3 linked regions of the Danio rerio genome follow. Each later gene encodes a partner of the first gene's protein in a complex. Links are inferred from orthologs where the notes say so. Each region holds a gene or a part of one and is shown on either strand. Other genes may lie near its edges. The genes, in order: chuk, rela and ikbkg.

Region 1 (10,920 bases):
AAAAAACCCAGAAACTTAACGCATTACTTCAGGATAAAACTATCCACTTGTTTAGTGTGGTTTGACATCATGAGAAGCAGCTTCTGGATTCAATCGCCATATCACACTGTATAGGGAGGCTCATCAATAATAAACGTTTACAAAGTAATACATTACTTGCGAAAATCATGATTGCAATATATATATCCATGCCTAATATCCGATGGCCAGAAAGTGATTAGTTTTGTGTACTCTTGAGTACACCATGATTTTATATAAAATTCCCTTTAATGTGATATGACTAAAAAGTGATCATAAATGAATACTTTCTCAATTCAAATGAGTAGCAGAGTCGTCCACACAAATGTACCCATTTCATACTCTCCTTTCAGAAAATATTAAACATTTGCCCAGCCTTTCTGGGTACATGCTATCTGCACTGCAAGTCAATTACAAGCACATGTTGACAATTTTACAATCAAAGATGTCACTTCACTATGCCTGTTTAGTCTGGTTGTTCTGCTTGTCAAAGAAATTGGCGCGCTGTGACGAGGTGCAAAATTTTGGCATTATGATTGGCCAGATCACCTGTCAATCAAACTGCCTGCAAAGGGTCAATTGCATAACCGTTACAGACCAATGTTATCTAAAAAGTGTTAATATTAATATCTTTATCTTTCACCCTACTGTTCTTTATAGCTTGGTGCCATATTGCCGCTTACTAATAAGTAGGTTACTGTGGGCTATATTCAGCCGTTTTTATGTCAGCTGGGTCTACTTGTTTAGTTTTGAGGAAAGAAGCTGTGTAATGAACAGAATAATGTATATCTAGCCGGTTCATTTTGCAGAATATGCCTCAGGTTTTATTTAGTGAGAACAATGACCAAGACATACAATATTCCTTACTAAAAATCACACCTAACTTTTAAATGGTGTAGTTTTTTGTTTTACTCATTTTGTAATATAAGATTTCGGTCTGACCACTAATGTGCATATAACCCTACCCCTGGAAAGTCCGGGATCATGTGGCTCATGTGCAAATTAAAAGCATATCTGTCCTTCAGACATTAAAAGCATGTGACTCACACAGGCAATCTTCAGTAAGTGCCAGAACTCTCTCTGTCTCTTGATCTGCATCTGCATGACTGTGGTGTCTGCCTCCTTTATGCATTCCAGCGTTCTCTCGATTTTAGGGAAGAGGTCGATGATCTTCTGCTTACTCAGAAGGATTTTACTGCAAAGGCCAAATTTGAAAAGTAAAATACCTTAACTGTATAATCCATTTGAACATAAATGAGTGGCATTAAAAGTTTTTTACCTGAGGTGTGCATATAGATCTCTTAGCACCCGGTCTTGATTCTGGACAGTCTGTACTATGACCTTCACCATCTCAGAGCTGTCGCTGTAGCCATGCTGAGGGTCTGGCACTAGAGGAAATGAAGAACATACATTATACACTGACCCTCTTGACTTACTAATGCAACCAATGATGATGCATTACTTTCTTTCGAGTATTTGACTACTTGGAAAAGGACACAGAGGGATTGTCATTGACTTGAAAAGTAAATATGCAAACAGAATTGTACTCACTTTTGCATTTTGCCTTCAACTGTTTGTAGAGTTCAATGGCTTTCTCTTGCCTGTGATGAAAACAAGATTTTATGTCAAAATAAATGCTGATAAACTTCACAAAGCTTATTTCTGAACAAAGGTTCTCACAACTGCTCCATGACATCTCCTTGACGACGAGCATAAGGACTTCTCTGTAACTCAACGATTTCCGAATGCAACGCCATTATTTCCTCATCCAGATGACCAATCTCTGCCACCTTCAGAAGATAAAAAAGTTGTTTTAGTTGTAGTTAAAACAAATGTAAACCCACATACAAATACATTTGCACAACAGATATGCTGGTCAAAAAGATTTTTTTTTTTACAAAAATGTGAAATCCACTTAGATGACTATTTATTAAAGGTTTTAAAACTACTTTGTGTATCATTCATTCACAGCACCTGTGCAAAAGCAGCAGCCCTCTCTTCATTTTCGTGCCAAGCCTTCAGCATCTTTTCTGAAGCTACAAAAAAAATGGATTATTACTAATCAATAATGCAATAACACATTTTTAGCTTTATCAACAAAGCAGCATATTCAAAAACGTACATATGCCATACTGCATCTGATCACTGTATTTCTCCAAGTCGTACTGTATGCTGGTCTTAAAAAAGTCCAGCTTTGCTTTGAGCTGTTGTGAAAAGGAGAACATCATGTTCTTGTATCTTGTCAAATTTGTATTGAAGCGAAGAAGACTCAGCCTGCAAACAAACAAATGATTCAATTATGAACAGAACAAAACACAAGACAGAGACATTAACGAGCATAGTAAATGTAAGGTATGTACATGGCTGCACGCTGGCCCTGGAAGAGGCGGCTGTAGTCTTCTCTGAGGCCACAAATGTAGCTAACCGCCTCACCCCAAACCTTTTTTAGGGTACTTAGTGGGAGCTGAGTTTTGGTTTCCCGAACTGAAACACAAAACGAGTTAAGGAATTTTAATATTCTAATGAAAGTTTACAAATACTTCACATTTCACGCAATAACATCTAAACAAATGATCCAAAGAAAAGCCAAATCATATCTTACCAATAAAGTTGACACTTTCGGGAAGTGTTCTAGCAGTTAAAGGTCCCATGTACTTGGTCAAACTCTTGTCAAACAGATATACAATGTAGCTGTCCCATCCTCTCTGATTATTTAAAATGAACAAATGAAATACAACTATGTTGATTAACAAAATGGTTTCTTTGCAGATAAAAACACACTTAAGAAGCCAAAATAATACTTACTACTCCATCTAACACACACTGTGCAGCAGGTTTCCTGGGATCTAACATGACTCCTGTTTCTTGCAGAAGATCTTGATTCAAAAGTTCAATTTTGGTTTCGTTCTCAATCCTCTGTTGCAGAGAGTGAAGCCCTTCATCTGGGCTTAGCAAAAATGAGTGAACCTGGGTCGTAGTCATGTTCAAGATGTGCACAACCTACAAAACAAATCATGCGTCAACTCATTTTTGCTGGTTATCTTAGATGTGTTCTGTCCAACAAATCATATTAGCTATTTGAAATTGGTGCAGTGGTTATTTGTAATCAATTTGGATGAAAAGAGTATTTAGATTCATGGTGAATAAAATGTTCCTTCAAGCATTATTTTTCAAATAATTATTGTCAACTATGAGGATTAGGGCAAAGCAATAGTAAAAAAGACAAAACTTAATTAAATCTTGAGATTATAATGCAATATTAAACTCATATAATCATAATACAAGAACACATAAAATGTAAAAAAAAAAGAAACCTCTAACTAAAATTTTAAGAATAAAGTAATTGTGTTTTTTGGGGTGAAAAAAATTTACATTTAGAAAAAAAAAAAATGCTGCAAGGTGCTGTCCATGGCTATGGTGCTGAATTGAATGGGAAACTGTTTAATTAATCCTACTACTGTAATTTTAGTATCTACTCAAGCAAAAAAGCTAACTTTGTACATCATTTCCAGACATCAGAGAGCTCCTATCAATATGCAGGGTACTGATTTTGCATTTAAATGCGCAGAGGTGTTTCACTTTTACTTTCATTTTTGTCATAACAGGTTCTCTGTGTAAACTGAAAATGTTTTAGATTAGATAGTTTACAATGAGGTCATCATATGTTTAGCATGAAAGACTCAACCACAGTCTCTCTCTCTTTACTCTTGACCCTTGGGTGAGTTTGAAATTCTGGGAGTGGTGGGTTAAGAGTTTTATACATAGGCGGTGAGTGACCAGATAAAGAACTTGAAAGGGATTCACATGGCACAGGACATAATGCATATGCTCGCACAACACAAAAGTAATGTGCAAAGAATGTAAAATACAGGGTGCACAGACAGAGCTGCAGCTGCACCCGTAAAACCTGAAAGCCTTAAAGGACTTCTATCCAGTTCACTTTAGACATGAACAGTCGCACCAAAATCACGGATGTAAGCTACTATTAATTACAAATGAGTTTGTCAAACAGTGTATCTATGCATTTATTCACTTGCTTTTGACACGCAAAGTTAAACATCAAATGTTCTTCACAACTTCATTAGAGTGACTCTCTTTTCGTTCACTTTTATATTACACTAGTGATAAATAAACACATTTGACGCTTTTACCATGCTGAAAACTTATCTACATTGTCCACAAAGTCCAAAGATCAAACTTGATGGTCAATTAAAATAGGGTGCAAGCCAGGTAATCAAGCCAAACATGGAAGGACCAGATCATGCGATCTATATAAATCTGAGTTCACTTTAAATATCTGTGGCAAATACTGATCCTGAACCAACAGTTATAAGCAGCTTTTCTCTCGATAAGCAACTAGAGGAAGCAGCAAGCAGTGGTTTGAGTGAGAAGGTACCACGGCGAATGTTATCTTTCCTACTCTCAAGCCAGTGCTCTGCTAAAAATATGCATAACATCGAAATATGCATAATAATGACTTTTTTCTTGAACTTTTATGACTGTATTAACATCTAATTTTAACATTCAGACATTAAGAGTTTTTTTGTGATACACAATGACTTCACATGTAACGACTTTAATTTTAAGATTCCATTCTATTCTATTATTTTTCTTGAAATTTTTCTCCACGTCTGTTATTAAATGGTTGGGTAAATAAGTGAAGGTTATGAATAACGTATTCAACTACATGCAGAAAAATGTGTAACTCTTGGCAACCAGAATAAGACATCTCTTAAATAGCTGATGACATTTTTAAAACCACTGTTAAAAAAACAAACACACATTCATGACAACAAAAAGAAGGCACCACTAAACAAACCAGACAAACTGTATAAAATAAAGCATAGATATAAATCTTAAAGACATCATAAAGAAATGATGTAATAATGTCAATGCCAAACCTTCATGCTCAGTATTTGATCTAGAAGAACAAAGCACTGGGGCTGTTTTGAATCTGTGTTCAGTCCTAATCCTCTCTGTACAGGGTCCCATTTGAGCATCAGCTGTAAAAGGCCTTCCAAGGGCTCCAGTAGTGTCCTGTGGAAACAAAAACAAATTGATAACTCAGAAATAACGGGTTAACACATGTTAATATATATTTTAATTGTATGAAGTGTACCTGCTAAGATTGTTTGGGTATGGAAGGTGGGTGGAAAAGCGGACCTCGCCATTCATATCTTCCACAGCCATTATATCCTTCGGACCTTTGTTTCGCACTTTGCTTGTCCTAAAAAAAAATATATATGCTTACTTATACGCAACTATATGGCTAGGTTCCTCTTGAAGAAAGGGTATATGAAAGATGGCATTATCAGCATGCAGGTTATGAGGACACATACCACTGCACAGGCTGAAGATTGTGAAGAAATGGACGAAATCCACAGCAGCATTCAAAGATCATGGTGCCAAAGCTCCAAAAGTCCACAGTGACTGTGTAGGACTTGCCTTCAAAAAGCTCTGGAGCCTGAAATAAATGGCATGGCCAATTTATTATAAGAATATTTAAAAATATAAGAATGTATAAAGATGAATAAATCTGAACATTGGATCCAATTCTTACTTCTTTTTTCACATTTTAAAGTAGATTTTTTTTGTGAACAGGATTTTAAAAATAAATCTATTTTTATCAATCGATAATTGTGAAATCAGGGCTCTAAATTAACCTTTTTTTCAAAAATGTAGGCGCATCAGCCATAATTTAGTCCCACACACCAATAATAAGCACCGTTACTACAAGTTTTATAGAAACAGATTTATTGCATTTGAAATCAACACTAATCAAGCTAACAAGCAAAAAAATATATATGCATACTGGAGGAAAATATGTCTCAACGAAACCCCGTTATCACAAGAAAATACATTTTTATAACATAACTGACTGACCAAAAGATACACGGACCGCTCACCGGCCCTGCACGCACTGCTTGACATGAATGAATCTGTTAATCATGTAACTGTGCTGTTCTCCTGGATGGTGTCTGATATTGCACTGATGCTTTTGACATATACTGTACCTTATTATATGCATACGTCATGTTTATAGCAATACCGGTCTTTTCACGAGTAGCGATATTTGTTTACTCAGTGCAAGCCCATTTGTGATGGTGTACGTTGTGTTAAATTTTAACGTTACATATAGCTGCCACTTGCATGGCGGACAACATTTAGTGATTAAATAAAGGATTAAACAGAACCTCTCGTGCTAGATGTGGCAAACAGTTACCTTAAAATTCCATCCCACAGACTTTTTCATAGTGGACTTGAAGCCAATGGAAGTCTTTTAATAGCAATGTTAATAGCAAAAAAACATCCAAACTTCGAAAAGTGTAGATGGTGGATTAACATTCAGCACATGATCACTACTAAGATGTGTCATTATCTCTAACTTTAGATGCCATGGTTTCTAAAACAAAATCTGTCAGTGTTATCTTCATTCCCATCTTCAGTGCTTTACATTTTTAAGGTAGTAGCTCTCCCTGTCATCCCAAGCCATAAAACACTGACTGAGTGATTGTGACTGACAGCTGATATTAACCAATCCACTTGCGATCAGTTCTAGAGCAGAGGGCCAATAAGAAAAGCGTGAAGGCGGGGCAAGCATTACAGACTTGGTTTTGTTTACTGACGCAAAGTTGACATGTTGACAACTGTTTAAAAACCTTCCTGCGCACTGCGTTTCAAGTGCAAAGATGCATTCTGTGTGAATGTCTACCCAATCCGTGCATGTGGTGAACATTTTGCAGTAAAAACTGGTTGCACACAACAATTTTATGCTCTTACACAAATGCTCCCAAATATATTTTGAGGTCGCATAGATAAAATTGTGGGCGCATATGCGACCAAAATGGTCACAATTTCAATCCCTGGAAATGCTATGGAAAAAAAGCTTTTTACTGTTTTTTTGGTTTTATTATTTTATATTATTGTTTTTATTTCTACATAACCAGACATATCTTATATAAATCTAAACCTAATGTAAAAACCATTAGAACACCTATAGGAATAAAACTTGGAATATTGGTGTAATTTGTACTGTAAGGAAATTTGGTGTAAGTGATACTGGAGTAAAAACAGGGATCACTACAAGTGAAAAACTCATTTTGAGGTAACAGCCTTAAAAAATATGTTATTAAAATAACAATGGTATTTTTTTCTATAATTATAAATTAGTATAAAATAAACACTTAAAATTGCATTGTGGATGTTTTTTTTCCCATGAGTACAAAGAACAATCTCCAAAATCTCAAAACTGACAGGTATTAGACACAAAAAATTCCCTGCATCTTAATAAAAAATCTCCAGCATATGAAAGTGTATGTGAGATTATTGCCATAACTGTCATATTTCTAAATAATGCAGGTTAAAACATACCAGATATTGTAAAGTCCCCACAAATGAAGTGCATAAGCTCCCCTGGTCCAGGTCTTTGGCATAACCAAGGTCGATTATCTTGTGAACAAGCTGCATAGACAACAAAACATAACCCATGTTTGAAAAGCATGTCTATAGAATAAAATTCTAACCACTAAAAAGTAAATACCTTTCCATTAATTTCTTGCAGCACAATATTCTCTGGCTTGAGATCCCTGTGTATGATCTTATTCTCATGAAGGTACTGGATTCCAGAACCTATTCAAAAGAAAACACTCAGTTTGACACACAACCCTCAGCTATTGATGGTAAAAATACTAAAAACAGAAGCAACAGGCTTTGACACATTACCAACATCATTGAGTAGAGACAACACCTCACTCTCTTTCAACCCACAGCAATTTTCAGGTTTGCTCAACAACTACAAAAAAAGAATTAAAAAACAGAAATGAGTCAGAATGAACTTAATATAAGAGCACATCTGACAGATACAAAAGAAAAGCCTATGGTCACACGCACACACCTTACGAAGATCTCCTTTGGAACAATACTCCATGGCTAAAAGTGGTAAATCATTCAAGGCAATGTGCATCATCTCCTCAGGCACATCCTTTGCTGTGACAACATTAAGGTGCTTTAGCCTTAGAAGTAGGATAAAAAAAGATTAGATTAAGTAATGTAACAATTAAAGGTGTACAAACACACAATATTAAGACACTTATGTACTGTAAATAAGGATCATGCTGCGGCCTCAAACCACTGATTGAATGTATTTTGATATGCTTAAACTTTGCTTTATCCTTCTATACTTACTATGTGTTTAATCAGGTAAAAATGTAGGGATGTAGTGCAATCACTTAAATTTTATAAATATTTAAATAAGCACAGGATAGAACAAATATATTCTTTAGTTAAATAAACATCTATTATGCTAAATAATTATTTCAATTCCTGAAAGTGTATGTATGTAAAAAATTGCCATTACAAAAACAAAAAATGTTCAACCAGGTTTCAGTACGAATTGTTAATATTTGTTTTTTCTTTTAAGGTCTGAAAGGATTTTTACCAAGATTTCAACAAAAAAGCAAGTTCTTTTCATTAAATAGCATTTGGTCAAGATTATTGTTAAGACAAAATTTTATATCTTGACCAAATATACATATATTTTACGTGTATATATACACGTAAAATTCTCAAAACAAATAAATCATTTGATTATAATAGATGTACACACTTTTTCATAATCTGGATCTCTCGACTCCATCTGTCTTTGTTTTTTGAATTAAGCTCAAGGCGACAGAGCTTCACAGCTATTTTTTCTGATGTTTCCTGCAAGCAAAAAAAAAAACTGTATTACCAAGAGTGAAAACTCCAACATTAGTCTTTACAAGTAAAATAAATAAGCAACAACAAAACATCTATAGTATAAATAGTAAAAATAAAAATAAAAACGTTGTACCTGATTCTGATACAAATAGACATGGCCAAATCCTCCTGTTCCAAGCCTCTCCTTCATAACCCATGAGCCACAGACCTGATTCTGTCTGAAAGGGGGTTTCTCCATCTGTACACATCAAACATTTCATCATAAGTTTATAATACAAAATCACTGGATTCCACTTTGTGAAAGCTGCTGCCGTTTGATCTATGTACATTGGGCCCTATTGAGGAAACTATTACGGGCTTCTTCGGTGTAAACAATACAAAAGAGGATTCATAAATACGAAATATTCATTTGCGTCATAATATTTACTTAGACATTAGGGCACTGCTAGCAAGCGAGCTAATCCAAAGTGTCAGCCGGTGACTTACCTTGCGTCCGTTTGTGTTTCTAACTTGCTTTAACCAGCCACATATAATGTGGAGAATTCAGTGAGCTGTAAAATGAGCGAATTAATCCATAGGAAACGGCAGAGCTGTCCATTTCATCCTTAAACGAGCTATCGGGTCGGATTTTAGATTTGCTAACTGGCTAACTAGCTACACGTAAACATCTCGACATGAGCAGTTAGCTTGCAGTCTCACATGCCCCCAAATGTCAGCTTTCCATAACACTGGGCACGAAAAAATACCAGATCGCAAGTGAATTTCTAAAAAACTAAATATTTCTGGCCTGAATTATGATTAAATACAGTATCACTGACTGGCTCACTTATATGTTAACTGTTGTTGACGGCGGCCACGCCAGTCAGCTGCTACTCCAGTCAAAAGCGAAACAATTTTCACGCACGCGCAGAGCGTGAAAAGACGCCCGAGTTTCTTGTGGCTGATCTAGGATCGGTCGGTCTTAACAGATGCTGTATGCATGGGCAAAGTAAAGTTCTTGGAGCTGAACTCAGGACGTAGGAACTTGTCACGAAAACAAGGTCGGTGACCTGAATTTCTTCAGATCTTCAAATGATAATTTCATGTGAACTGGAAAATTTGTTCCGCAATTATTCTCCTCACACCTGCTTAATTTGGAATAATGGAAATATACCTCTTCAAACACAAACACACACACACACACACACACACACACACACACACACACACACACACACACACACACACACACACACACACAATGGTAATGTTATGGTTGTTACATGACTGTATTTATTATTATGTATGTATGTTTAAAACCAGCAGAATATACTATATATTTGACATGTCATGAACTTACTGTTCTTCAAAAAAATGCTCAATAAAAATTTCCTTAAGACAAGAATGGGTATTGTTTTGGTCTTTTTTTTTTTGTCAAACTACTGTAGGTTTTAAGTTACTACAGCAGATATAGGCTACCTATATCATTATATTGGTAGTCAGAGTTATTTTAATGACCCAAATCGAGTAAAATGTCTCCTACTCAAGTACTTTTTGCATGCAAAAGTCAAATTTACAGTTTTCAACAACAAAATTTTGTCTCGTAAAAATGACCAGTGGGGTGTGAGAAAAAAGTTAATGTCGAGATATATATTCTATATAAAAGAAGTTGAACAAGTTGTCATAATATTTAGTCATAATGCATTTTTCTGTACATTTCCATTAGACGTTTTTTTTCTAAATCTATAATTGGTAAATTGCTCCCAGGTCAATCTAAAAATGAAATAAATTAGCCGTATAGCTTACATGAGGACGTCCATCCAGAGTACGCTGTTACATTGACAACATGAGTAAGTAATTTGACTGTCTTATCCGTACACAATGACACAAGGACTTGTCATTCTGACGGCACTGACATGTTCATTGAGAGATGAACCAAGCACTTTAAGCAAGAGACTGGCCTTTGCAGGTAATCCATGCTGTTTGGCTATTTGTATGTGCTGTTTTGAGAAATGCACTTACTGCTTAGCAAATTTCAAATCTGAGAAGTTTACCAAAGCGACTGAAAAAAAAACTGTAAAACAACACAAGTTAATGCAAAGATGAAAAGTCTGCAAAGACAAAAGTGTGTATTTTTTTATTTGCACATATCACTTTTTAAAGTAGTAGCGTATACATAATTCGGTTTTATATTTTTGGCTTAATATTTAATACTCGTTTTGATGT
Region 2 (11,367 bases), on another chromosome or scaffold:
GTCACTTTAAAATGCTCCAGTGTCCCTGTATCTGTGGCTACACTACGTAAACAGTAATGAGTTCAGTAAACCGATGAGCTTCACGGCCAATCACAGTCATTTCTGCTGAGCACGTGAACACAAATCAGCACTGTTTAAGAACGCGCTCAACAGGACAAAGGGACATTTTTAAAGTACTGATTGGTACTGAAATCCAGTGTCGTGGCAACTCTATACACCTAGACAACATCTATATGCAATATTATTGCAGGGTAACTATGTATATATTAACTTCTGTGATTGTAACATTACCCTAATCTGATTGCAATACATTAATGTGCACCTTCTATAAAGCTGCTTTGAAACATCAATTATTGTAAAAAGTGAGGATTTTATCCACATCAGTCCAATTGCTGGTAATGTTGGAGATCTTCAGAAACTTCAGAGATTAAAACAACAACAACTAAATAAACAACCTTAAAGCTGCAGAACAGGATTAGTCACTCACAAGTCTGACACTCTGAAACGAATCTGAAAATAACTCACATTTCAACAACAAACTGAGCTGAATCTGCCAGACCACACACACACACACACACACACACACACACACACACACACACACACACACACACACACACACACACACACACACACACACACACACACACACACACAATACATTCATCAATTACAATACATTGATCAATAATCAACACTCCTATTGAATAACTCTAAACACAAAAATATTACGTTGATTTTAGGCTGCATATGCTGGAATAGTTGGCGGTTCATTCCGCTGTGGTAACCCCTAATGAATAAAGGGTTTAAGCCAATGGAAATTAAATGAATATAATAGTGCTGGGGCGAGGCAGTGGTGCAGTAGGTAGTGCTGTCGCCTCACAGCAAGAAGGTCGCTGGTTCAAACCTCGGCTCAGTTTGCGTTTCTGTGTGGAATTTGCATGTTCTCCCTGCCTTCACGTGGGTTTCCTCCGGGTGCTCCGGTTTCCAAAGACATGTGGTACTGGTGAATTGGGAAGGCTAAATTGTCCGTAGTGGATGAGTGTGTGTGTGTGTGTGTGATTGTTTCCCAGAGATGGGTTGTGGCTGGAAGGGCATCCGCTGCATAAAAACGTGCTGGATAAGTTGGCGGTTCATTCCGCTGTGGCGGATTAATAAAGGGACTAAGCCCACAAGAAAATGAATGAATAATAGTGCTGGGCAAAAATGAATCGTGAATAAATTGAAAGTGCAAAAACACTTTAAAAAGTAGGTAACATTAATAAGGACTTAAACATATTATGAGAGCATGGCATTAGACAACTATAATAATAATAAAATGTATATATATTCAAAGGAAAATCTGATGATAATAACACAGACTTGTTGCTTCTCAATCACTAATGCAGTAGTGTGCTTATTTATGTGCTCTAACGAAGTATAAAAGTGATTAATAACAAAATAAATAAATGTAATGTAATTAATAATAGATCCTCTGTGTTTTTATTGACATGTTTGATAAAAAGCGAGCGTCTTCAAATCTCCAGCCCTCTCTGCTGTTGTGTTTTCTTCCGTACGCTGTGTTTTCATTACACTCAGGAGACTGATAAAAGAAAAAGAAAGGAAAAAAGAAGAAAATCCAGAAAGGCCGGAAGACGGCGAGCACATATTGACCCAGTTAAACCTGGAGGAGTTTTATGACTAACCCGTCTGCTAGTCGAGATCTCTGGATGTAAACAGTCTGTCATCATCATGATGCAATCACAGCACATTTACCATCAGTCTGTGATGAAATGAGCATAAAAGAAAACCCTGAAGCAAAGTAAAATCAGACTAAGAAAAAAATGAGTCCTAAATCTGTCTGATGCTGATGTGCATTAGGGTGCTTGGTTATTGTCAGATATAGGCACAGCTAAAGAAGTTCCGGCAGGTTTACAGTGGCTCCAAATCACTACACTGAATGATTAGTGTTATTTTAACTACAGCAGTCAGAAATTACATCAGAACACAACAGAAGGAGGAGGAGGAGATGTGGAGGACACACAGGAGACGCCTGAGGAGGACACACACCTGATTAACACAGTCTCAAACATAGAACATCTCAGCAGTGGATTCAGCAGCGGTGCTGGAGACCAGATGAGAAGAGCACTCCAATCCCCTGTCAGAAGAGTCTAGTGTGTGTGATGAGCTGTTCACAGTGTCTGCTGTAGTGTTCATGCTGTTCTGGTGTGTTTACATGATGAATATGGCCACGGTGTGAACACACAGTACAGTTATGATCTTATTGCCACATTATATGTCATGATAACATGATATCTGCCTTCAGTGATGTCCTGAAGATAAACACCAAACAACACAACTGGAGTAACTCCAGCAGTCTCCATCGTCTGATCTCATATGAAGCAGGAGATGGCGATGACACATGATGACGTGTGCAGATGCTGTAGTGCTGGCCCAATTCTTAGGGGTGAATTTTAAAGCCCTTCCCCTTCACACTCTGTTTCAAGGGCCAAGGGGAAGGGGTACAACAATAGAATTGGGATTGGGCCTTAGAGAATATTGGACATCTCTGCTTCACCGCATCACCACCTCAGGTTTGCTTTACTTTCTAACACTGTAAAACAGTCCATTGTCAATTACTCCTTTCTTGACTGACGAGTATAAACACAATGCTGCTACAGGTGTCGCACAGAAACCACAATCTCTGAATGTTTACACACTATTTAACATAACTACACAAAGGCCCAACGTCAGTCTGTGCTTCGGGCGTCTTTTGCTGTCAAATCTCTACTTTTACAAAGTCAACATGAGAATATGGTAGAAATTTGTCATATTTTTTAAGATAAACACTTAGAGCAGGGGTGCTCAAACTCGGTCCTGGAGGGCCAGTTTCCTGCATATTTTAGTTTCAACGTCATTTAAACACACCTGAACTATTTAATTAAGCTCTTTCTGGGTATACTAGAGACTTCCAGCTAGGTGTGTTGAAGAAAATTGGAGCTAAACTATGCAGGACACCAGCTCTCCAGGACAGTATTTGGGCACTCCTGACTTAGAGCCTTAAATCTGATTATTCGTTTGAGGAAGGTCTACAGTATTTCCAGAACCTTTGCTATCTCTGTTCCTCAGAACTAAATGATTTTTAAGTAAAGGACCATGTACATCCAGTTGGTTGTGTTATTGCAGAATAAAGCATGAGAGGTTAAAAAGATGAGCTTTTTTCGGCAAAATATTTTAATTATTTTTTAAATGTTATTGATTAATTGAGGTGAGAGTGTATGGGTGTTTTCCAGTACTGGGTTGCAGCTGAAATGGCATCCGCTGTGTAAAACACATGCTGAAATAGTTGGAGGTTCATTCCGCTGTGGAATGTTACTGTGTAAAGACACAATAATCAAAGTAGCATGGCGAACAATATAGGGATCATTAAAATGACTGAATGTCCAAATATAAAATCAACTTTACCTCATTCCCCTAAACATGTTAATTAGCAGATATTTACAATCAACAAGTGGCCAAGTAAACATTTTGAGCAGCATTACTTAACCTAAATCAGTTATTTCACAAAGGCGACTTTGACTACTAGTTAACTAGGCATGGGACGATAACCGTTTTCAAGGTATACCGTGATATGGAAAAGTCCAGGTTGTGACTAAACCCAGATGTTCTGCTATACCGTTCCTGAGGTATGTGGAAGACTTGTGGAAGACTTTTTAATTTAAATATTTTTCTCTTTTTTTTAGGAAAACAGTATCTCCAGGAGAAAAGATTTCCAAAAATGCCATTTTAGATCATAAAGAAATCTGTGTTTTTGAAACAAATGAAGACAGCAAAGGCGAGGCAGTGGCGCAGTAGGTAGTGCTGTCACCTCACTGCAAGAACGTCGCTGGGTCGAACCTCGGCTCAGTTGGCGTTTCTGTGTGGAGTTTGCATGTTCTCCCTGCCTTCGCTTGGGTTTCTTCCGGGTGCTCAGGTTTCCCCCACAGTCCAAAGACATGTGGTACAGGTGAATTGGGTAGGCTAAATTGCCCATAGTGTATGAGTGTGTGTGCGAATGTGTGTGGATGTTTCCCAGAGATGGGTTGAGGCCGCTGCGTAAAAACTTGCTGGATAAGTTGGCGGTTCATTCCGCTGTGGCGACCCTGGATTAATAAAGGGACTAAACCGACAAGAAAATGAATAAATGAATGAAGACAGCAGAGGTCAGTGACTCATTGAATTATTCAACCTGACATGTTTACTGCTCCAAAATATATTAAATACTTCTCAAATTAAGATATATTGTATTCAAAGGGAAACTTTTAGTTTTTTACTCAGACATTTAAAAAGAATATATTTTAGAGCAGTAATCACTATCCCATGAAACTGTGGTATCTTTATCCAAGGTTATTATACCGCCAGAATCTTATACCGACCAATGCCTATAGTTAACTAGAACTAATCAACTAACCTACCACTAACAACAACACAAATATTGTAATAGAGCAGCTTTACTTTCTCTCAATCAGTTCACAAATGTAACTTTGGTTACTAGTTAGCTATGACTAACCAACCCAACACTAATACATGTTTATTATCAGATATTCACAATGAACAAGTGGCCAAATAAACAAGCTGCATTACATCCTCTAAATCAGTGAGTTCACAAAGGACACTTTGACTACTAGCCATAACTAGTACTAACTAACCCATGTTTATTATCAGATATTCACAATGAACCTGTGGCCATTATTGTGATACATTTGCTAAATCAATGAGATCATTAAGGCGACACTGACTACTAGTTTTCTAGCACTAACCAACCCACCCCTAAACAGGTTTATTATCAGATATTCACAATCAACAAGCAGCCAAACAAACAACATTTTGAGCAGTATTACTTACTCTATATAAGGAGACTTTAACAGGTTAACTAGAACGAACCAACCCACCTATTACCAAACATGCTTATTATTAATATTATTATGATTATTATTATTATTATAAAACATTCACAATGAAACACAAATATTGTAATGGAGTAGCTTTACTTTCTCTAAATCAGTTCACTAACATGGCTTTGGTTACTAGTTAGCTACCACAAACCAACTAACCTACAACTAAACATGTTTATCATCAGATATTCACAATGAATCAGTGGCCAAATAAACAACACAAATATTGTAATAGAGTAGCTTTACAAAAGTACCTTTGGTTACTAGTTAGCTAGCACTAACCAACCCAACACTAATACATGTTTATTATCAAATATTCACAATGAACCTGTGGTCATTATTGTGATAGAGTAGCTTTACATTTGCCAAATTAGTGAGTTGATTAAGGTGGCTACTAGTTTTTTAGCACTAACCAACCCACCCCTAAACAGGTTTATCATCAGATATTCACAATGAATCAGTGGCAACAGCACAAAAATTGTAATAGAGTAGCTTTACTTTCTCTAAACCAGTTCAAAAAGGTGGCTTTGGTTACTAGTTAGCTAGCATTAAACAACCCAACACTAATACATGTTTATTATCATATATACACAATGAACAAGTGGCTAAATAAACAAGCAGCATTACTCACGCTAAATCAGTGAGTTCACAAAGGTAATTATGACTACTAGCCATAACTAGCTCTAACCCACCCCTAAATATGTTCATTATCAGACATTCACAATAAACCAGAGGGCAAACAAACAACATAAATATTGTGACAAAGTATCTTTACTTTTGCTAAATCAGTGAGTTCGTAATAGAGTTCATTGACTACTAGTTATCTAGCACTAACCAACCCACTCTAAACATGAGTATTATCATCAGACATTCACAATGAACAAGTGGCCAAATAAACAAGCAGCATTACTCACGCTAAATCAGTGCGTTCACAAAGGTGATTATGACTACTAGCCATAACTAGCACTAACCCACCCCAAAATATGTTCCTTATCAGACATTCACAATAAACCAGTGGGCAAACAACATAAATATTGTGACAAAGTACCTTTACTTTTGCTAAATCAAAGAGTTAATAATGGCGTTCATTGACTACTAGTTATCTAGCACTAACCAACCCACTCTAAACATGAGTATTATCATCAGACATTCACAATGAACAAGTGACCAAATAAAGAGTATAGATATACTTTGAGTAGCTTTACCTGTGCTAAATCAGTGAGTCCATGAAGGAGATGAGTTTATAACCAGAACTAGCCAACACACCCCTAAACAGGTTTATCGTCAGATGTCCACAATGAACAAGCAGCCACATAATACAAATATCACGTTAGTGCATCTTTACTTTCGCTACGTCAGTTAACGTTAGCTCACACAGGCGATGAAGTTTACTAGCTACTAACTAGCATTAACCAACCCACACAGAACTTAGCAGTTAACGTTACCAGGAAAAGTAACATAAGTTAACGTAACCTTGTCAACAAGCCACTTTCCGCGTATCGCGTGATCTCTGAGGACTTTTTGACAAGTATTTGAAAGTGTTTTTGTTTGTTTGTGTACACACACACACACACACACACACACACACACACACACACACACACACCTGTAGGCCGCGATACGTCAGCTCTGCAGCCTTGTAATGGTTGTCGTGTTTGATTCTCGTGACCCGTTTACCGACCTGAGCCCCGGAGACAGGGGACCGATCGATTCTCAGCCGAAACCGAGAGTAAAAGTTTAGCGGCGGGACTTTCCCTTCCGCGCGACACCGCAAACCCCCCGTTGGCGCCGTTCACATGCAGAAACCCGGCATTAAAGCTCGACTTACCGTCCATGTCGCGGGTCTCCACAGCTCTCGGTCACTTTTTAACGTTTCCGGGCGACGGTGAAAAATAAACGACACACCGCGACAACACTTTCCTTCCGCGCGCCTCCGCGGGACTACAGCAGGCGCGCTCCCGTGGGCGGAAATACCCGGATGACGCGATTCATCATCACCAACACGACTGCTGAGAACACACGCGCACTGTAGATTAGCTTATGGGCAGTATTTAGCAATACAAACTTATTTGTCGACCAAAATCAATGTCAAATGAAGATATGGACTCAGATGTCTTGTTACATATTCACTGTTTTTGGAATAATATACTGTATTTGGTGACAAATAATGAGAATACTTTTGGCTTCTTCACTAAGAAAAGTCTGACATAATCATCTAACTTATATTCAACTATCTAGTAAACTATCCAGGCCTGTAGCCAGGGCGGTTCAGAAGACCCAGCCCTAAATGACTAGGGTCCAGAATTTGTCAAATACAGTTGAAGTCAGAATTATTCGCCCCCTATTTATTTTTTCCCCCCAATTTCTGTGTAACAGAGAGCAGATTTCTCCAACATATCTCTAATCATATAGCTTTAATAACTCATCTCTAATAACTGATTTGTTTTCTCTTTATCATAATGACAGTGAATTTGACTAGATATTCTTCAAGACACTTCTATACAGCTTAATGTGACATGTAAACAAATCAGACTTTCTCCAGAAGAATAAAATATTATCAGACATACTGTGAACATTTCCTGAATCTGTTCAACATCATCTGGGAAATATTTAAAAAAGAAAACAGATGCAAAGCCCTGCTAAAAAATCCAGCTTAAACCAGCCTAGGCTGGTTGGCTGGTTTTAGCTGGTCTACCAGGTTGTTTTAGAGGGGTTTTGGCCACTTCCAGGCTGGTTTCCAGCCATTTCCAGCCTGATCTTAGCTGGTCAGGCTGGAAAATGACCAGCCAAATCCAGCAAAAACCAGCTTGACCAGCCTGGTTTAAGCTGGATATAGCTGGTTTTGGCTGGACTCCCAGCTTGGCTAGGCTGGTCAAGCTGGTTTTAGCTGGTCATCTCCCAGCCTGAGCAGCTAAGACCTGGCTGGAAATGGGTGGAAACCAGCCTGGAAGTGGCCAAAACCCCTCTTAAACCAGCCTGGTCGACCAGCCTAGACTGGTTTAGGCTGGATTTGTCAGCAGGGAGGGTGCTTATAATTTTGACTTCAACTGTATTGCTGGCAATGCGAATCAGACTCCTACTCTGTTCATACAGGGATGAGAGACAGCCCTAAAATAAATATTTTTGGTACATCAAAAAGTGTGGTTATAATGACCACCCAACAAGCTAATCCAGCTAAACATAGTAGTTTAAATGACAGCTAAATACAGTATTTAAATCTCATAATTAAATAGAAAACGAGACGAATAACTGCAAAAAGGTCCAAAAAGAATCACCTCTTACCAAGCTGACTACCAGCCTCATATCGGTAACTCTAATAACAGTATTCCCACAAACGCTCATTCTGGACTGTCTGGTTACATCACTTATTTAGAGAGTGGACTTTAGTTGTGGAGACACGGTGGCTCGGTGGTTCGCACTGTGGCCTCACAGCAAGAGGGTCGCTGGTTCGAGTCCCGGCTGGGTCAGTTGGCGTTTCTGTGTGGAGTTTGCATGTTCTCCTCCGAGTGCTCCGGTTTCCCCCACAGTCCAAACACATGCGCTATATTGATCAACTAAACTGTCCATAGTGTATGAGTGTGTGTGTGTGTGTGTGTGTGTGTGAATGAGTGTGTATGGGTGTTTCCCAGTACTGGGTTGCAGCTGGCTAGGCATCCGCTGTGTAAAACACATGCTGGAATAGTTGGCGGTTCATTCCGCTGTGGCGACCCTTGATGAATAAAGGGACTAAGCTAAAGGAAATTTAATGAATGAACTTCAATTGTTTTAGGTCGACTTTTCCACTTTTATAAACATATCATATTATTTCTGTATTTGCCCAACATTGTATTATTTAAACACAGACCACTCTCATTGTAAATTTATTATTATTTGCTTTTTCTTGCTAAACTTTACTTTCATAAATGTACATTTGAAAAAAAAATGCTCCTAAATGTAATTTTCTGAGAATATTCTGATTTATTTGTGAACTATTTAAAAGGCTATAGTGATTACACTGCGTGTAAAACTCGTCTTAATGCAAATCTCTTACACTTGTATAATTTCCTGGGATTTATTTAAGTTATGTAACCCTCTTTGTTCATATTCTGTCTTCTTTATGTGTTCGCAAACACACACACACACACACACACACACACACACACACACACACACACACACGCACTAAAAAAAATGTACTCACTATTGATTCTCTGTCAAGTGTTTTCCAGCCTCTCTGAGTTTTTTATTGTTGAACACACAAAAAAAGATAAGAAAGCCTAAAACCTGCAACCATCGACTTCCAGTAGGAAAACAAATAGTGAGTTAATAGTTACACAGTTCTGGCTTTCTTCATATCTTATGTAGTGTTCAACAGAGTGAAGAAACTCAAACAGGTTTGGAATAATGACTGAGTTATGGACTGAGTTATGTGAAGGATGCCATGAAGGAATGAACAGTCAATTGTGGAAAGAATTTGATAGCAAAGTAAAAGTGAGATACTTTAATACTCCTTCTGTAATATCTAGATGTGTAAGAAGACCATCTGTAGCTTTGTGCTGGAGAAAATGCGGTAAAATCGGTGATCATACTCACATTTTTGGTACTGTCCATGGAAAAATGTTAATAAAGAAATAGATAAGATATTAGACAGAAATACCCCATCCATCCAGTTATATGCTTATTGGGAGTGTAGCCCTGCCAGTCCTACACCACTCAACCCGCTCTGAACTGGTAACTAACTGGCGACCTTCCGCATGGGAGTCGGCTGCTCTACCAAGGAGGCTAAAGGCCATGACCTCTAGTGTCTGTCACTAGAGCACCTTTAGAGGTCAGAGGAGTGAGGTTTACCTGCACAGCACACACTAGCTGACCTCTGCTACAGAAGCACTGCCCAAAGAAATGTTTAATAAGGAAACAACATTTGTCCAGAGGATATTATTACTGGTTGCAAAAAAAAAAAAAGATTACAGTACATTGGATGGAAGAAAGTTCTCCAAAGCTGCACTGCTCAGTGGATTCAGAGAATTAAACAGGTCTATATAATGGAAATAATGACTGCATGTCTACAAACGAAGACTGATATTTTTCTGAAGAGGTGGAAAAGTATTGTGACACATTTAGATATGTATATTTAGAGGTTGCTTGACCTATCATCACTTGAATTTGATGTACAATGCAACACAGTGTAACTTGATGTACAAATGTATCCCCTGTGAAATAATTACGATGGCGATACTGTCATGATTACCAGCGATCGGATTCCATAAGATCGCTGGTTCTCACTCAACATAGCCTTGGACTACAATTCCGCCATTGTTGGACTACATATTCATGAATGCACTCCGGTCACACTCACACATGCTTCCTCATCTAGACTGATTACTCGCACCACCTGAGGATTGTCAGAGACTGATTGCACACACTACTAAAGCCACACACTCACCTATTCAGTTGGCTGAGTCTTGTTTATCAGTAGATGACATTATTATGCGTTATTTCTTGTCTTGTTTCCCCGTGTGTTACCTGTATTCTCGTTCTCCCTGCCTGCCGCTTGCCTTTTGACCTCTCGCCTGTATACTGATTATGATTCTGGACTGTCTCCATATACTCGTTTGTACCTGTTTTGACCATTGCTTGCCTGACAATGAATGAACCTGCACTGTGGATCATACCCCAGTTGTTTGTGTCACTCCCCGTCGTTACAAATACCTTTTATTTTTTTATTTATATTATTATTATTATTTAATTAATTAATTAAATTATTTATTTATTTATTTATTATATTTTCATTATTATTTTTTATTATTATCTTATGTATATCCTCGTGTGTAAGGAGTTCATTTGTTGGGGAAGGGGTTGTTCTGAAAAAAAAACACCGAATTGTCCTTTTTTTTGTGTGAACTATCCCTTTAATATTAATGTTTTTATTTTCTTATGCTTGTCTCTTTTATTCCTGTTTATGTAAAGCACGTTGAATTGCCATTGTGTATGAAATGTGCTATAGAAATAAACTTGCCTTGACTAATAACTGCACAGACACCACTCATCTGTTCCACTTCTGTCTGATGATTCCCAGAATAATACATAATACAATCAAAAGTTTGTCAAATGCTCGATTAAATGAGCAAAATATCAGTGTACGCTATTTAAAACCTTCTATTCAGACTACAATACTGCACATTGCTGAGACTGACCAGCAGAGGGCGCAGAAACTCTGTTTACTGTACATCAGTCTGCTGTAAACCAGACTAATATACACATGTCTACTGAACACCAGTCTACTGTATGATTCTACTGTACTCCAGTCTACTTTATATCTGCCTACTGTACATAAATCTATTGTATATATACAGTGCTCAGCATATATGTTCATCCCTCACAAATCTCTCTTTTAAATTCACGTTTAATAGGAAGCTCTATAATTTTACTTTTATATTTGTGCAAATTAGATTAGTACTACCTGAAGCCAAATCTA
Region 3 (10,920 bases), on another chromosome or scaffold:
TGAGAGAACAGTGGCTTAATGACTCTTTAAAGAGATGCATTTTGTCATGTAGCCTGTAAATCTAATTAACTAACTTAAAGGAAATAAAGCACCTGTGTATTAATTAATGAAGAAAACAGGTGTTTTACCAGCTGGAGGTGGCGGGTGAGGTCGAGGCCTGTAGTCCTCCAAGTGTCTCTGCTGCATCTCTTCAATGCGAGCTCTGTGAGGAAACAACATTCACATCAAACGCTTGGACAACAGGAGGGAGAGGACATTAGTTCATGCAATTCATTTGAATTTATTTAGATTTTAATTTAAAGGTGCAGTAGGTGATTGTCTTCAGGAGCAATTTTTGTTGTACTGGTTGAAAGTCTCTTCACAGTCTAATAGTAATGATTACAGTAAATGATCTAAATTTATTTTAATGTATTTTTATATTTTGGGTAAGGCATAAAACAAAAAAATGTTCATCCAATTAAATAGAGTCGGACGGACATCTCTCATAATTCCGATAAGTAGCTCAATCTGTCTGTCAGCAAATGCAGATTTGAACAACTGCGCAGCCGTTTGTACGCAGTTCTGCCGAACCGCCGCACGTTCACGAGAGAGAGAGAATGCGTGCACGCGCGCGCGGTTGGTAAAAACATGCTGAATCAAAACTTTTTAAAAACCTGAATCAATATTGGAGTTACCTTTGCACGCTGGAGAAAGGATGACACCATGTCTGAAGGCCTTCTCTTAGACAGGTAATGTTTTGTTTTAAAATTATTTTAGCTTCACGCTAAGCTGATGTAACGTTAGATGTTGGGTTATATCTTCACAGAAGTGTTGTTCAGCTCCTAAAATCTTCCGATGAAAGATTGATAAGACTATTTTCAGTTTCATAAGGGTCCTTTTACAGCATCAATGATGGAGATTTTAATTAGTTTAACAACAAAACACAAGTAAACGCCACTATTCCGCCTAGTCTCTCCCTATATTGTTAACCATGCAACTCTAAATATTCACTCTGAAATAGCATGTCAGTTTGGCTTGCATGCCGCCGGACATGCACTAGTCGCTTTTAACACATGAGAGGGTTCTTTTGCTGTGCTTGTGTTTCAGGAGGCGTGGCTCTAGACGGCAGGGGAGGGACTGTGATTCAGAGATTTATGCTAAGCTGTTAGCATTGTGGAAGATCTCCTACTGCACCTTTAAATGAAATGCAGAGATTGATAACATAAATCAATGCTACTGTTTTTAATTTAAATGTATATTAAAAACTTAAAGTTGAAGCCAAAGAAAATTCTCTTAAACCGAGTTTTTGCTTATTGTTCACTACAGAGGCTCGCTGTTATCATCAAATATTGAAAAGCAGTTCGCTTCTATCGATCAATCAATGACTCAAAGAGGGATTAACGGTGTGGGATAATGGCCTATACATTACATTAGAAATTTAGTTCAGACATGCTCTGAATTCAAAGTGTAGCCAAATAACAGAGACATGCACCATGGTAAAACAAGGATAAAAACTGCTGGTGTTTTATAGGTTGATGGATGGACTGATTTGAAATGGACATTTTTTCCAATTGAGATGCTGAACTTGAAGATTTCTTCCTGAATAGATGGGCTTTTGCCACACATCGATTCTTTATCCCCAAAACTCATATAAAATAGTTAAGTATTATAATTCTAAAAATAATGATATTAAAACGGGGCAGGATGACAGTAATGGGAAATGCAAATCTTACATAAAAACTATTTTCATGTTAGTTAATTCATAAACTAGAAACTACATTCTGTTATTTACTAGTGATTTTAGGCATTAAAAAGCACAATGACAATCATGCATATACATACTGGGATCTGCTGAATTAAGTAGAAAATAATGACAAAGCTAAACTAAATGCAAAAACTGAGGAAATAACCATCAAATATCAGGGTTTCTGTCCAATTTAAGACTTTTTAAGACCATCAAGAATTAAATTTACACTTTATTAGGACTTAACGCGAAGGATTTTAAAAAAATACTTTCCCAATCAAAAAACTAATTCTAATGAGTTATTTCTTAGCCACATATTTAAAATAACTAATTTAAATATTTAAAATATCAAAACAAGCAGACCCTATTTGTATAAATACTAACTAAAAACTTTAAAAATAAAAATTTTAACTAAATGTATGCACAACAAACTGTTATAGTATTATTTATAAAAAGAGTTTTGCTAACAGTTTTTTTTTTAGATGTATTGTTGGTGATTGGATATAGGTTGAATTAATTGAGTAGCTTTACATAAAAAAAGGAAAACTAAGACCTGTTTAAAATGATTTAGGACCTACAACACAATATTTCTGTGAATTTAAGACTTTAAAGCCTAAAATAGTTTTTGCTATTTAACACATTTTAAGACTTTTTAAGACTCAGCGGATACCCTGAGACATTCAATTTAACCAATACATAAAATAACTTTGATACCGTGAGGTTCTTTCTTGCTTGAATCTTTCAATCTCGACCAATGCCTTATTCAGATCCTCCTGCAACTCTTCCTTCTTTTGATTGAGTTTCTCTCTGGCTTCCCTCTCAGCCAAGAAGTCCATCTTATAGATCTCTGCCTGTAAAAATAAAACATGTCGCCATTGTGTTTGTGTTACTATATGCAAGATCTAAATCGTATACACATTTATAGCAGAGCCTAAAAAATGAGTGTTTAATTTTAATGCAAAGTATATTTTCACCTGATGGTTCAGCACCGGTATGGTCTCTAATTTAGCTCTCAGCTGCTCCATTTCCTCCTTGAGTTTATCAATGTGCTCCTGTTTGAGGGCCAGTGCTTTCTCAGCCTCCCCTAACCTGTTAGCAAGGGTATCCGTCTCTCCACCCTTAAAAGGTAAATACCACACATAGTTTCCATGAACAACTATAGAGCACAAACCATGCACTGACCTATTATTTTAAGTGTCTACCACAAAAATGAAGTCACAGATTTGTAGCGTTTCAATTTAAGAGAAGTTCAATGACTAGTGTCTACTATTGAGAAAACTTTCTAAAACATTTACATATTTAAATTTGTAACCATAAAATATTTATTACAAATATGATGAATAATAATAAATGTAATTTTATTGGGTTTATTGACTTTCTCACACACACACACACACACACACACACACACCGTAAAAAGCAATCAAAAATTTAAATTAAAACAAGCTAATGTTAAATTAAATAAATAAATGAATAAATAAATAAATAATTTAATTAAATAAATAAAATAACATACAGCAATATAAAGCCATCTCTAAAAATATAACGTATGAATAAATACAAAAATAAAACATTTCATTTATTTTTTACATTTTTTCTTCATTACTGGTCAAAGACGAACAGAAATGTTAAAGGAAAATGGTACCATAACCAATAAACAGTTTAAAAACAGCAGATACCTACCCTGTGATTGGCTTGTTTTTCGCTTTTAAGTTTGTTGTCATAATCCTGAAACAGACACGTGTATGCATGCTGGAGCTGGGCCAGCTTCCTCCTAGACAAAAAGAAGAGCAACAGGATTTGTGGCTTGCCATCACAACTCTAACAATCACAGCAAGAAGCTGCTTTCTACATCCCGCTGAACTCACCTCTCCTCCACTATGACGAGCCTCTCGTTCTTCAGTGCGGCTTCCAGATTCTGTGTCTTCAGTAAAAGATTGTCTACCGTCACGCTGTGCTGCTTCTTCTGCTGCTCCATCTCTCTCTCTACAGTCTGCAGACGCTCACTCTTCGTGACCAGCCTGGAGATTAAACCGATAATATATACAAAGATGCTCTGATAAAAAAAAAGAGCAGACCTTTCAGGATTTGCTATTCTGTTATCACTTAATTTTTTTTTTTAACGCCTCATCTGCAGCATTGGCTATTTTTATGGCAACACTTGTGCTAATTATTATTTAATGTAAAATTTACATTTATAAATTACATATCTGTTTATTAATAATCATGATTCGCACAAAAAAATACACTACTGCAACCTAAATTATTTTAGTTAAATCAAATTATATTTTCTAGTCATTAATTTACTTTAACTGATGACAAAAGACATTCAATTAAACCTAGTTAACTTATTAAAATGAGTTAAAATACCATTATAAAACAATTATTTATATTTATATATATATATATATATATATATATATATATATATATATATATATATACACACACACACACACACACACACACACACACACACACACACACACACACACAAATATATATATATATATATATATATATATATATATATATATATACATAAACACACAAACACATATATATATATATATTTTATACACGTATATACACTTTTTTTTTCTTTTTTTTTTTTACAGTGTACAAATAAAAAACAAGGCATAGACAAGGATTTTCCAACTGTATGACCTTATGAAAAATCCAGCGAATGTCACAAAATATTTATTTATTTGTATGGACCTAATTCACATTTCCAAGTTTCTCAGCAGTGGAAGTCATCATAGTTGGGTAAATATGAAGGTTTATCAGAAGCAAACCTTGAGAGCTTGCAAATCTAAATGCGAGAACTTGGGACAATAATATTTGTACACACACACAAACACAGACACACCGACACACGACTTAGCATTTATGTCGCGAACAATTGGTTTCATTTTCAAATATGACACAAACTTTTTTTAAAGGAGTGGTCCAGAGTGTATTTTTACAGTTTGGTTGTTTATAAGTTGCAAAGCAATGTGTGCTCATTTGTAAAAAAAAAAATAAAAAAATAAATCACTTTATTTTCTTACATATCTTACTTTAATTATATACATCTACTCAGCTAACATGAAAATGACTGTCATATTTCCTAGTTCCTCCTCAAGTGGCACTGATTGGTCAGCTTACATAATAATTGGCCCCAAGTCACCAGGAAAAGTGTCATGCCCCTACAAGCACACACTTTTGCGCTGTGTAAATACTGTCGGTCAGAGTAGCTGTTAGCCATATCAGTTTGAGCCTGAATCAGACAGAAAATGACACAGAGGACACAGCTGAACTTCACGCCTGCTGACAAATCTGACAAGTGTCTTTCACATATAATTAGATTAAGCTTGGGTAAGTAATATGAAATGTTAACATATCTTTTGTGAGTTCGTTATTTGAGATGTAGAACGCAGGGAAAGCGTCCGCAGACCCTGCAGCTCTGCTGAAGATTTTGGGTGTTTTCTGTGATTTGACTGTGATGTTTACATCCTTGCTACAACATACCATTAACGATAGAAACTGTGCTTGTAATAGATCAATTTAATAAATAAAAACATTTATGGATTGTTGCTCACAGTCCTATTATGGTTGGAGCTGCTCCTCCTTTGAGGAGTTTGACCTGAACTGGGAGAGATTCTGGAAGTTGTCCTTTGTCAAATGCTAGCTATATCTTTTTTATAATTATCTGGAACACAATTAAAATTAAACTGTAAGCACTTCTGTCTTTGTGTCATGTCCTTTGGTAGCCCAAATACACAAGCAGAAGGAAGCCTGTGGAAATAGCAGCGTTTGGATGGCATTTTAGCTTTCTCTGCTTTAACATTATAGCGCCTCTGGCCATGCCCTTTGCTGCGTGAGGTGTATGGGTGTGGTAAATGCACGTAACCTGAAGCATTAGTAATCTCACTAACATGGATATATACTTTTGTAGTCCCCAAACTTTGTTCACTGTAGGCTTTGCTAAGCTAACTCTGTAAAAGCCAATGTCTCCCTTTGCATTGAACTTTGAGCGTATTACATTCAGAGATGTTGTTTATGTTCACACAGCTACATTACACATCAACTAAAGTTTAAATTATGATATCGTAGTGGATCATCCCTTTAATAAAAATTTATTTTAGTCACAAAATAAAATAAATTCTGAATTGTTTTTTGCAAAATCCTGAAAGAGATTCACTTACTTGTCTTCTAAGGTTCGTTTCTCTGCTTCGCTCTTCTCCAGCCAGTTTTGTCGTTCGTTCAGCTCTCCGAGAAGCGACGTTACTTGCGATCTCAGCGCTTCACTGTCCTTTTGTACCTGAACAAACTCTTTCTCCTTCTGTTTAAGGAGAGCCTCAGTTCTGTCTCTCTGAAAAGAATTCTTCTGAAGACAATCCAGCTTCTCCTGCAGCTCCCTGTACCTGCATCACAGCACAGACATTTGTTTTAGACCCGCTTTATACCTGGTGTTAAGTTTTCTGGCGCATCTGATCACAAGCGAATGACATCAAATACAGCTGTAAAATGGGGACTGAAATGTGTTGAGTTTGTTCATGATCATTTGTTTTGACCAGACTGCTTTTGTACCAAATGCAGTAAAAAACAGTAAAGAACAAATAATTAAAATTGTAATGCAAACAACAAAAAGCAGGAACTTCCAATAATAGTTCTAGGAACTATAAAAAGGTTCCACTGGTGCAAAAGCCCCTAATGAGAGCTCAAGCTATTTGAGTATTTAGGCTACTTTTACAAACGTCACTATTCAGGCCTAGTGTAATAAAAATAAACAAAATCTCTACATAATAAATAACATACAGACACTTTAACCAATGTTTGTGCAATGTTAATTCTTTACCCTCTCTTCACTTGTTCCAAACCTCATTGAGTTTCTTTCTTCCGTTCAACACAAAAGAAGATATTATGAAGAATGTTGAAAACCTCTAACCATTGACTTCCTTAGTATTTGTCCTCCCTACTTTGTTCAATAAATTAGGTTAATTTTAACATGTAACATGTAAAGTTTAATCACATACTACAATGAGCAGAATATGAAACAATAAGTTATTTTTAATATTTAAGATGGAGAGATTCAAATAAAAACATCCGCTAATAACATAATCATCATACAAATAATTTTACACGATCATCTATGCTTTTTTAAAAGTGAAATGCTAAAAACTCCCTTAAAGGATGGCCAGTCTATCACTAGCTACGTTTCCATCCACCTATTTTTATGCACATTTTGGATATGCGAATAGAAAAAAAAAAGATTAATGAAAACGGCAAGTGCAGAAATTTTGAAAATAAGTTAAAAAAAAAACGCATAACTGAGTAGGATAAACTTTGTATTCGATAAAAAAGATAAACAATGATCGAAACACTTTTACTGCACAAATTCCAGCATGTGCATTAAAAAAAGGTGTTGTGGTTTTTTAATGAGAGATCATGTGACAAACCAGGAGGCTGAACACATTGTAAAACATCTGAAATGTTGTTTTGGTCTTTCTAAAATGCCGTAACCATTTCAGTAATCCTGTATTATATTACTAATGACCTCCAGAATCAAGAGCATCTGTGATTCGCGTCTCACGCCTTCAACGCCTCCGCGAGTTCACTGCGTGTTAGGACTGCCTTCTGAGGCGCAAGTCATTTATTAAAAGAAGAAAAGATTCACTTAGCTTCTCTTATCGCAGCAAATTATGTTTTTACTGTTGATATGTGGTGCCAGATAATCAGGAAGTGATCATTTTGTTTGCTTTGACTTGTTGGATGGAAACGCTGCTTTATTCGCACGTCTTTTATGCGATAACCCAGTTTTGCGCACGAAGTTAATTAGCATTTTTGGATGGAAACATAGCTACTGACTGTCATATGCAAGTGTACAAATCATTGAAAAAATGTTAACAGTCATGTTGACTCAAATAATGTCCATTTGTCCTATGTAAATGTATACATTGTGCCATTTCAGAAAGTTTCTCTTAAATACCAGTGCTGACTGTCCTTGTTAATAAAATGCCATATTAATAAAGTTTTGAGTTTTCTTCAAAGTATCTTCTTTTAAGTTCAACAGAAGAAAGGAATTAATAAAAGTTTCGAACAACTTGATAGTGAGTAAATTTACGTTTTTCTGTGTACTATACCTTTAACCAGGCGGCATTTATTGATCAAAAGTGAAAACATTATCTTTGGTAAATATTACCATGAAAAGTAAAATATTTCTATTAAAATATATATTCTATAAAAGAACATTTAGATCAGATTTTTTTGCAGCCATTACCTTTCAGTCCTCATTGTTAAATGATCATTAAAATTAATCTAACATGCTGAATGTCATTCATAGAAAATGATTTAAAATCTTTTATGAACACTATAAATTGAATATAAAAGGTGAATATAAAGTGAATATAATTAGTTAATAAAATGACAAATTTATTTCTTACAATTAAAAAATAATAATCTTCCTGACTTCAAGCATGTGAACATCTGTCTATATGAGAATCATAAAACAGTTGAACATCAGCTGTCAGGATTTACTGAATGAGGGGATGGACACTCATGCACACGTCGAGTGAGACACGGTTGTCCTCACCTGCCTTGTGTGGCCTGAAGCTGCTCAGTTATGTTAGCCAAGTGAGAGCTAAGCAGACACACGGGTTCAAAGAGAAGACAGAAAAAAGAAATTCCAAACCATTTACATTAGAAGAAAAGGAAGAAAAGCACTTTGAGACTTATTACAATCCAATCAAACCATGCAAAGATGACAGAGCTTCATGGTCAGCTGTAGAGAGAGAGAAAAAGCAGACGAAATTGAAGATCTGATTGTACCTTTCTGCAGGAACAGTGACAGCACACGTCGGCGGGACTGACTCTTCAGTAACCCCAACATTCTGATAAACACAGGAGGAATCAGTTAACACAAGTTACTAACATGCGAGAAAGACAGCATATGTAACCGTTTACAACACTGATGTATGCATGTATTTTTTATTTAATGCCATGCCAGCAAGCAAGGCTATTTTTTATGGCAAGAACATTTTAATAATAAATATACAATTAAAAATTAACAAACAAATGAATTCATTAATTAAATAAGATTTTAGCGCTAATACATGATAAAAAATAATTAAAAAATAATAATTTGCTTAAAATGTCCTTAAGAGAATTTATTTCATATTCTTCTGGAATCATTAAAAACAGGACAGTCCAGTAGAATGTGTTTTACTGTAAGAGGAATTGTGCAGTACAAACATTGAGTAGGGTCGTCACCTTTGAGCAAATAACCATGTGTTTTTCTTGTATGACATCTGGTAAAAATCACTTGATCAAATCTAGTCTTAAAATGTCTTCAAATTCAGTTTGAGATTTCACGTTGAATGTCATACAATGTATTGTTTTTCAATACATCCCACTCCTCTTGCCACTTGTTTAAAAACATAAACATTGATAAAACGTCTCATCTCTGAAGGAGGAATTTGCTATTTGTTCACCGCTTGTTTTAAAGCATCCTTAGCAGCTGCAAAGCCCAAAATGATCTGGAACTCAAACTAAAATTTGTTTTGTAAATGGTGAACTGTAATTAAAACATTATCAAATAATTTTTATAAAAGTAAAGCACGGGCTTCAGCTGTGAATATTGAATATTCTTTAGGCCAGGGCTGACCAAACTCGCTTTTGGAGGGCCGGTGTACTGGACAGTTTATCACCAACTTGCTTCAACACACCAGCCAGGATGCTTCTAGTATATCTAAAAAGAGCTTGATTAGTTGGTTCAGGTGTGTTTGATCCCAGGCAGACTGATTCCATAATGTTGTTGTTCTTTACAACACTGATAATAAGCATACATATTTCTTGAGATTATGTGAGACAGAACACTGGAGTAATGATGATAAAAAAATTAAATTTATCCCAAGAGAAAGTTCATATTAATTGTAAAAATGCGTAAGAGTATTGCCATTTTAAAGCAGCCTTAATGAATCATCTATCGCTACATTTAAATTATTTTAAAGACTGTCAATTTAAAGCAGTGCACGTTTTAACAATTGATTATGGTTTCTACTATTTTGTGTGTGTCTATATGTTGTGACAAGTATTATTTCATTTATTTTTTTATTTTTTGTTTGTTTGTTTGTAACTTTGTCCTATGCTGCCTGTCTTGATCTCAACGGATCAGGAGTTTTCTTTACAAAAACTTTAAATATCAGACATAAGTTTCTGATATCCCTAGAGTGTGTATATGTGCAGTTTCAGCTCTAAATACCCCCACAAATAATGCTTTATAACTCATTGAAGCTGCCGCTTTTAGGCTGTGATTCAAATTGTGCAAATGCCTGTGTGTCAGCATAGTGGCAGACTCAAAAACAAGACTAATGCCTTATGCTAATGAGGGAGAGATCGTCACTAATGGGCGGGGCTATAACCCTCTGATGACATGTACAAAGGGAGAATGTCAATCAAAGTTTTTGTTTTTCAACAAGTGCTATTATAAAAAAAATGTATGAATGCATTTTTACCATTAGAAGCTGATTATTTTCAGACTGTTGCCACACAACTGTTTAAACCCCTTATAAAAGTGATTTTTGCATAATAGGTTCCCTTTAAAATGACGCCAGTCAACTTGTACACCAATCTGCTCTGCATTTTGACATGTTCTGATGACATGCAGCTAGTTTGCTCAGAGTACAACATATTCGATGGTATACAGAGCATAATGACTTTGTAGTGTTTTTATTTTTATATGGGTACTGTAAAGGCCACTTCAACTGTAAACGCTGGTGACTTTATTGACTTTTGCTTTATGACCAGTATAACTTAATCTATTGACTTCAATTTTAAAAGTATTGCAAAACTATTTTATTTTATAAAATAATTATTAATATTGGTGTCAGTTTTCAGTGCATCCCTATAAAGAAACAGTCCTTATAAACCTATGAGAATGAAATGCTCAACCTGAGACAGCTTGGAGCGCAACTGCTCCAGTGCAGCGAGGAGATTCTCTCTCTCTTTCTCGTTCTCTGCTTTCTCCTTCTCCAGCTCCTCATTCTTCCTCCTTAAAGCCCGCATGCCTTCCTCCAGCTTCTCTTTGTGGCTTTTCAGTAGTTTCAGGAAATCATTAGAGCCCACAGCAGGCTAAAGAGTAACAAAATAAAAAGTTGTAAAATTGAAGACAAATATTTTTTTGAATAATCGTATCTTCTCATATCTTTGGACTTTGA

The links.
Region 2: chuk (region 1) and rela share a complex: the UniProt entries of both Homo sapiens proteins name them as parts of the 70-90 kDa complex. The link is inferred for Danio rerio from reciprocal best matches to the Homo sapiens genes CHUK and RELA.
Region 3: chuk (region 1) and ikbkg share a complex: the UniProt entries of both Homo sapiens proteins name them as parts of the I-kappa-B-kinase (IKK) core complex. The link is inferred for Danio rerio from reciprocal best matches to the Homo sapiens genes CHUK and IKBKG.

Annotation. Positions count from the first base shown.
Region 1 is NC_133188.1:28,581,291-28,592,210, reverse strand, and holds part of chuk (inhibitor of nuclear factor kappa-B kinase subunit alpha), read right to left. Parts: intron 9,324-10,920; exon of another isoform or gene 9,202-9,323; intron 8,954-9,201; coding exon 8,849-8,953; intron 8,719-8,848; coding exon 8,624-8,718; intron 8,031-8,623; coding exon 7,913-8,030; intron 7,811-7,912; coding exon 7,741-7,810; intron 7,648-7,740; coding exon 7,559-7,647; intron 7,480-7,558; coding exon 7,390-7,479; intron 5,483-7,389; coding exon 5,358-5,482; intron 5,246-5,357; coding exon 5,138-5,245; intron 5,056-5,137; coding exon 4,920-5,055; intron 3,019-4,919; coding exon 2,824-3,018; intron 2,724-2,823; coding exon 2,621-2,723; intron 2,503-2,620; coding exon 2,379-2,502; intron 2,293-2,378; coding exon 2,141-2,292; intron 2,055-2,140; coding exon 1,993-2,054; intron 1,809-1,992; coding exon 1,699-1,808; intron 1,620-1,698; coding exon 1,570-1,619; intron 1,407-1,569; coding exon 1,298-1,406; intron 1,214-1,297; coding exon 1,066-1,213; intron 1-1,065.
Region 2 is NC_133182.1:1,090,741-1,102,107, forward strand, and holds the start of rela (transcription factor p65), read right to left. Parts: upstream 6,801-11,367; 5' UTR 6,749-6,800; coding exon 6,742-6,748; exon of another isoform or gene 6,520-6,741; intron 1-6,519. UniProt on the Homo sapiens protein: NF-kappa-B is a pleiotropic transcription factor present in almost all cell types and is the endpoint of a series of signal transduction events that are initiated by a vast array of stimuli related to many biological processes such as inflammation, immunity, differentiation, cell growth, tumorigenesis and apoptosis.
Region 3 is NC_133198.1:21,480,227-21,491,146, forward strand, and holds part of ikbkg (NF-kappa-B essential modulator), read right to left. Parts: intron 10,835-10,920; coding exon 10,655-10,834; intron 8,596-10,654; coding exon 8,534-8,595; intron 8,346-8,533; coding exon 8,298-8,345; intron 6,130-8,297; coding exon 5,911-6,129; exon of another isoform or gene 5,788-5,910; intron 5,453-5,787; exon of another isoform or gene 4,338-5,452; intron 3,745-4,337; coding exon 3,592-3,744; intron 3,498-3,591; coding exon 3,407-3,497; intron 2,842-3,406; coding exon 2,698-2,841; intron 2,575-2,697; coding exon 2,438-2,574; intron 203-2,437; coding exon 129-202; intron 1-128. UniProt on the Homo sapiens protein: Regulatory subunit of the IKK core complex which phosphorylates inhibitors of NF-kappa-B thus leading to the dissociation of the inhibitor/NF-kappa-B complex and ultimately the degradation of the inhibitor.